Caenorhabditis elegans: one gene and its partner. The protein of the gene in region 1 interacts with the protein of each later gene in a pairwise test. Each region holds a gene or a part of one and is shown on either strand. Other genes may lie near its edges. The genes, in order: spig-9 and asna-1.

What was found.
Region 2: the proteins of spig-9 (region 1) and asna-1 interact in a two-hybrid assay, tested with the Caenorhabditis elegans proteins (one large-scale study listed by BioGRID).

What each region holds. Positions count from the first base shown.
Region 1 is NC_003283.11:13,610,725-13,613,907, forward strand, and holds spig-9 (Minor capsid protein), read right to left. Parts: upstream 1,162-3,183; 5' UTR 1,141-1,161; coding exon 1,071-1,140; intron 1,025-1,070; coding exon 840-1,024; intron 783-839; coding exon 693-782; 3' UTR 613-692; downstream 1-612. Other genes in the region: F53F4.7 (Nucleotide-diphospho-sugar transferase domain-containing protein), read right to left, coding at 1,715-2,045, 2,173-2,340, 2,395-2,609, 2,875-3,183.
Region 2 is NC_003281.10:8,893,414-8,897,322, reverse strand, and holds asna-1 (ATPase asna-1), read right to left. Parts: upstream 2,242-3,909; 5' UTR 2,235-2,241; coding exon 1,801-2,234; intron 1,753-1,800; coding exon 1,494-1,752; intron 1,286-1,493; coding exon 1,076-1,285; intron 948-1,075; coding exon 822-947; 3' UTR 669-821; downstream 1-668. Other genes in the region: ZK637.4 (uncharacterized protein), read right to left, coding at 2,667-2,763, 2,819-2,872, 2,922-2,989, 3,042-3,110; lnkn-1 (Protein linkin), read right to left, coding at 3,448-3,579, 3,886-3,909. UniProt on the Caenorhabditis elegans protein: ATPase required for the post-translational delivery of tail-anchored (TA) proteins to the endoplasmic reticulum. Recognizes and selectively binds the transmembrane domain of TA proteins in the cytosol.

The DNA of each region.
Region 1 (3,183 bases):
AATTGAAAAGATCATTAAAAATCTAGAAAAATTCGACGAATTTTTTACAGTTATATTTGGTATATTGGGACCAAGGGTGTCAATGTCCCGTAAAAATTACAAAAACGGGACAACGGATGTCCCGTTCCCGCGAAAACACCCAAAAAACGGGACAACGGGACAAACGGGACACGGGACTTGACACCCTTGATTGGGACTGTTTTCTCTCATTTATAGCAAAAAAACCACAGAATTTGACCGACAAACTTAAGATTAGCAGGTATAAAACACACTGTCGATATATTCAAAAACTAAAAACTTGAAAAATTCTTTCCTTTTCTGTAGTCTTAATGAAAAAGTTTCATGTTAAAAACTTAAATCCAGAACACTGAAATCTTTCTTGCAAAGCAGGGAAAGTGAAAGTCCATTATTTCACTTGCTCGTTCAAAACTAAAGCTTTGTTATCTCATCTTTGATTTTCAGATTTTTGAAGCTTTGAGGATTGATTCTGGAAGATTTAGCTTTCAAAGATCAATCATATTTTGTGGTCTGGCTTCTGGCTGCCAACTGAACAGGACAACATTAGTTTCAGCCTTGGAAAATTTGGAAGTTCAAAATTTAGTTCACACAACTGAAGAATAACACTTTACTCAAAAATAAAAATTACGAACAATCATAGATTGTAATACAGACGATACTTGAGTTTTAGAAAATTATTCGGAATCAGATTCAACTTGAATGGAAATCTCGTCTGGTTGACCGAATTCAGCTGCCTTGCTTTCAACGAAGGCCTTGTAGGCTTGCTGAAATTAATGGGTACTTATACTCCTGGGAGACAAACATTTGAACTAAATACTAACCTGATCATTAGCTGGTGCTTGTTTGATAGCTGCATCAGTCTCAGAAATGATTTCTTGGAAAATAGTTTTTCCTGATTTCTCAGAAATTTCTCCATCGTTGTTGTGGCTGGCTGTGATGTCTACAAGCTTGTTAGCGGTTTCCTGGGAAATTCCAGCATCGAGCAACTCTTGCAGATAATTGTTTTCTAAAGAACTATCAATTAAAATCGAAAATTAAATTAGTAACTTTACCATTCTCGTTGAGGGCAATAACGGAAACAGCGAGAATTGCTACAAAAAGAGATGTCCAGATAGAGTTCATGTTGAAATGATTTAAATCGTCAAATGAGGAATCTACCTGTTATTTTATACTAACGGATTAACTGGTACATGGAAACTGCCGGATTATCGTATGAAAAATGATCATTGTTCGATCGATATGGTTATGTAGGCGGATTTACAGAGAGATGAACTTTGGTGTTAATTGGGAGAGACTAACCAGGGGAACAAAAGTAATAGGTTTTGATTTGTTGGACATTCCTAGAGGGCATTTGATTTATAAAAAATTTAGTGAAATGTTCGAATAATAGAAGACATATGAGAACTTTTGTATATTTCAGACATCAATCCTTCATTGAATAACAGTATCTTCAAGTAATTTTTTAAGATAACCTTTTGGGAATAAATACACAAAAAAAACTGCACATTGAATGTGTAAGTACCAATAATGTTTTTTCTTGCGATTTTTCTCAATTGACTTTTTTCTGTTTTTTTTTAAATTAATGAATTATATTTTATTAAATTTAGCAAGCACGGTTTGCGATAGTATGTTACTTTTGGCATTTCTGGCGATCACAAAAGTTGCCATAAAAACGTTCAAAAAACTTTATTAAAAATCAGAAAAACTGTAAATAAAGCGACGTGAGTCCTCCATAAATGCTGGAATAATGTCCGAAAACTGGAATTTGATTGAGAAATTCTCCGAGTTTCAAATAAAATTGTTCGCGATTCTTTGATTGCGTCATAATCCGTGGCACAGTTCCATCAACCATATGTTGAACTCCTTTTGAAACTTTATCTGCTTTACATCTGTCATTTTTATCCAAAAACCAGAAATTATATTTTTCAAGCACTTTCTCCTTATTTCCACCAGTTTCTCCGTCCATTTGAATCATGATCGGTGGGTTTTTCTGGTCTCCGTAAATCCATTCCCATCCCGTTACCAGACTGAAAATAACAGTTTTGATGAGCTTAGAAGATCGATTTAAAATTTAAGATGCCTTGGATAAATTTTAAGTTAAATTGAATTTAAAAATATGAAACCTTGAATCATCAACTTTTTTGGTAGCCATACCTGTATGGAACATAATCACATGAATAATCTCCACGGAGACAAAACATTTTAACAAGATCTGGGTCAGTAATATACACACTTTTCTGCCAAAATAACCATGATTCTACTAAAGACTGACTGGAAGATTTTGAGGGAATATAGAAGTTTGCACCGTTCATTGTTCTTTTTCTGAAATTATCCAATCAATCGTTTCAATCATATTTAACAACTGTATTTTATTACCGAATATCAGCGGTTCCTTCGAATCCTTGTTGATCAAGAAGAATATCACTATTCTCATATTTACTCACATCGACCAAGTTAAGAAAATTATCACGCCAAACTGTATCAGCCTGAAGCATCCAAAACGGTTTTCCAAGTTTTTGAAGTGCATGAATCATATTGGTTCTCATTAGGAAAAAGCTCATGTATGTTATGTCATATGGGCGGAATGTTTTCTGAAAATAATCACGTGATGAAAATTAATGTTTTTTGTTTGAAAAAATATTTCAGATGGAAGCTAAGGATTTTAAGTTTTAAGTATCAACATTATACAATACTTTTTTAAAAACCTACAAAAAAAGGAAATTAGTTGCGCTAGAGAACCCTAGACAATTTCAGAATAAAAATTTCAGAATATTTAATTGTATTATTTTCAAAATGTTCTCTTGTTTTAATCAAACTCCACAAACAAACAACTCCGCCTTTAAATTCAAAACTCACTTGAAGTACTGGTGCCAACCAGATGACAATATTCAATCTTGGATACACTTTTCGAAGACTTTCTTCCGAAAACTTATCCATAACTAAGAATAGCATTTTCTGGTGAACACCCACAAAACTTTTTGTATTGCACAACCAATTCAAAGTCATTTTTACAGCGTGTCGATTCAAAAGCATAACTCCGTATCCATCAGGAAGTTTCCTTACAGCTGTCTTCAACTCTTCATACTTCACAATATGACTCCAATGAAATTCAGCTTCATTTTTGCGAAGAACTTTTAGATTTTTATAATTTTGATAGATATTATT
Region 2 (3,909 bases), on another chromosome or scaffold:
TTAAATATATTTGGAATATATTTGAAATATATTTCGAATATATTTGGAATTGATTTGGAATATATTTGAACTAATATCAGATTAAGACTGAATATTTGACAACTCATGTTTATTGTATAAATTCAAATTTCAAAACTGCAGAGAATGGGATATTGCACGTGGCTATTTGGTAATTTGAATGCAGAAAAAATTCCAAGGAATATGAAGTGGACCAAGGAAAATAAATTGGAAATAGCAACTTGAACATTAGGAAACGGGGCTAAGTGAATTGAAAATGAAATCACATGAAAAATAATACGAAGGTAAAATTACTCCAAAATCATTGTATCTCCAACTGCCATCCCCTCCATGGAGGCTCCATGGCCCTCCATTCTCAGGATCCATAAGTCTGGTTAAAAACAAGCTCGTAAACTAGAGATTTTAACAAGTTGTGTGAAAATTGAATTCTCTGAATCTAGGTAAGTGTCGGATGAAGTCTAGCAGTCGGAAAAATGTACTGCTTGGTCCCATGACCTGTCGGCTGCCTAATACTAGGTACTATTTGAAAGAAATTACGTCTAAAATCTAGCTAATTAAAATGATTACTTGACAAAAATAGTTTGCCAGGCTGAAGTTTGAAAGATAATTATGTTCCAAATATACTTCAATCCTAAGTAAAAAACAATGAATATCATAAATTATTCATTTGATTCGAAAAAGGCACCCACAATAAAGCGAGAAATAAGGGGACAGGGAATTTTGGAGAAAAAACATGGGATAGGAAGAATCTTTTAACATAAAAAACCACAGAACAAGTTGATTTTGTAGGAGAACAAATTAGTTTAGTTTTTGTTAGCTTCAGGATCCACCATCCGTTCGCTGAACTGAAGAATTGCGGGCCCTCCACGCACTTCTGCCTCAAGAAGTGGAAGTTTGACGACGTGGAAATCCTCGTAGAGCTCATCGATCTGGAAAAATTGATTTATTCCGCATCTAGCAAATCACGACAGAGTCAAAAATGCACTGTGGTTATTCAATATTAATTTGCTCAAAGTTTCTAATTTAATAATTTATCAAACTTCTCATTTAAACTCACATCTGTCAAGTATTTCGACTGAATCGCCTGTCTCGATGCACATTTTCTGCATGAAACTGTTCCATTTGCATCGGTATCCGGAAAGAGAAGTTGATTCACAATAATATTATGAGTATCGATTCCTTGTTTGGACAACTCCTGAATAAGTCGTTCGGTTTCGTAAAGAGAGAGGAATTCGGCAATGCAGACGCAGACGAATGTGGTGCAATTCTGTAAATACATATTTGAATGCTCTGCAGAAACTTTGATGATTTAAAATCTCTGAATTCAATATATATCAAGCTAGAATTTACCCTTGATATAATTGAAAAGGTTAAAAAAACATATTACCAAGATGCAGAATTTTACGACAATTTTCGCGTCTGGGTGATATATCTCCGTAGTAATTTTAAATATCACTTGAATCTGAAAAACTAACAGGATCCTTAAACTGTGCGTTCATCTTTTTCACAGATTCTAGAGTCGTTGTCATCTTTTCAATCATTTCATTCATTGATCCACCTCCCATTCCAAACATTCCACCGAATTGATTCATCATTGGTCCAAACATTCCTTGAAGTGACAGAATTTTCGTAAATACTTTTTCCAAAAGTGTTGGGAATTGAAGAAGACGAAGAGTGTGCCCAGTTGGAGCGGTGTCAAAGACCACAACGTCGAAGTCAAGAGAGTCTATCAACCTGAAAAAAATAATAGATTTTTTAAAAATCAGAATCATTGACACTCACTTTATCATTTCCCCGAAACTCATTGCCTCATCAATCCCAGGAAGTCCTCCAGCAAAACTTTGAAGAAAATCTTTTCCCATCGAGAATCCACCGCTTCCACCTTCGTTTTGTGCAGCATTTTGCAGCATTTCTTCGATATTCCCCATTTCGACGCCTTCTCCGTTCGGATTTGAATCGATTTCCATTGCAAAGAGATTTTTGAAACCTTCGACCAGTGTTGGAGTTTTTGTGAATTTCTGACTGAAGGCATCAGAAATGTTGTGGGCGGGATCGGTGGAGATGAGAAGAACTCTCTCACGAACTTTTGAGAGTTGAGCTGCCAATGAGCAACTGCATGTCGTCTTTCCGACACCTCCCTTTCCACCCACAAAAATCCATTTTAGCGTTTTTTGTTCGAGAATATTCTTGATAGAGGCTTCCAGCTGATCCGACATTATTTCTGAAAAAAAAAGAAGTTTTAGGTTTATTTGCATTTAAAGTTTGAAATTTTAAAAAGAAATGTCTAGCCTTTTGCAGTTTTTTTAATTTTTCAAGTAAAAATGGATACAAATTTTTATTGTTTTTCTACAGTGTTTTCTCGACTTGATAGGAGTTAAGTTCTTTAATAAATAACTTTTTTGATTCGATTATGAAAATTCCGAAAGTGTTTATTACAGTACTCCAAAGGCGCACAACTTTCTGCATTTAACAAAATTTTCTCGGGGCGAGACCCAGGTTACAAAACCTCAACATTTTATGTCTGGGTAATATTTTTTTTTGGAGAACTGAAGAAATAATAATAAGGTAATAGAAAACCATTAGAACACGGATAAAACTTGAAAAAAATGAAATAATTTCTAAAACTTTATTAAATAAAAATCGAAAAATCATTCGGACGGTTGTTTCTGTGAAATGTGAATTAGACGATCATCGATATGAACTGGTTCGGAGCTCGGAGTCACTTGCACACCACTGGCCTTCAATCTGAAAAAAATGAATGTGGGTTCCATGTCATTGCAACGATTTTCCGATGTAATACCTCAATTTTCGATTGTCCCAAAGGCAATCCGGCATCGGGTAAGACAGAAGATACCTGAAAATATTGAGTTTTTTATGAGAATTTTCCATAAAATGAAACTTACAGTTTCAATGGCGCAATGTAATAATCCAAAAACTCCAGAATTCGCTCTTTCAGACTGTTGTTTGGAACCTGAAATTGGAAACTTTTTGTTAAAGTTAACAAAAATTTGAAGAAAACTCACATATTTCGGCGAATATTTGCTCTGCCGCTCCACGTCATTCATTAGAAAATATTTTGGATTTGACTTCATTAGGAAAAAATTCAAAAAGTTTTATTTTAATAGTTCGTCAAAAAAACGAAAAAGTCTCTGTTCAGTTTATAAAGAGAGTGATGGAGGGTAAGGGGTCACGTGGAATAAATATTACAGTTGTTTTCAAATAATGTTTCTATTTTCAAACAAGGAAAACTCGGATTTAAAGCTGATCTCTAAAAATACTCCGACGTGCAATCACAGCTCGAAATGGGAAATCTAAACACAGGATGAAGCTTCAAAAGGTCAAATATGCAAAAAAAGAGACAAATGATGGGAACCCGTAAAAAACGATCTCGTCTTCAAGAAGATATGATCTTAAAATTCACAAAAAAATCTACATGGCATCGAAATGGAATCGATGAGATTGTTGTTGTCGTTCGTATCGATCTTCCTTTTTCTCTCGATAATGTAAGAATACGACAACCATTAGAAGCATACAGCATACGAGAGCAATGACGGCAAGACTCTGGAAAATGAGAATATCGATTTATTATAGAGACGTGGAAATGTGCCCCATGGCCAACTGACTACGCTCCGCCCCCGAGCCATGGGTCTCGTTAGTTATTTGGCAGCAAACCCGTGAATTCAACGAATTCGTATTTGCAACCATTTTGAAATGTTTTTCGTTAGTTTTAATGATTTTTATGCCGAAATTATGTTTAAAGAATGCATTAAAAATGAAAAGTTTTTTTCTTTTATTTTTTAATTTTATTTTATCAATTTCCGTCGTTCCCATTTGGAGCGTATGTCCACGTCTCCATAATAATCTTACCTGAACAATAAGAGCTGATGGTGT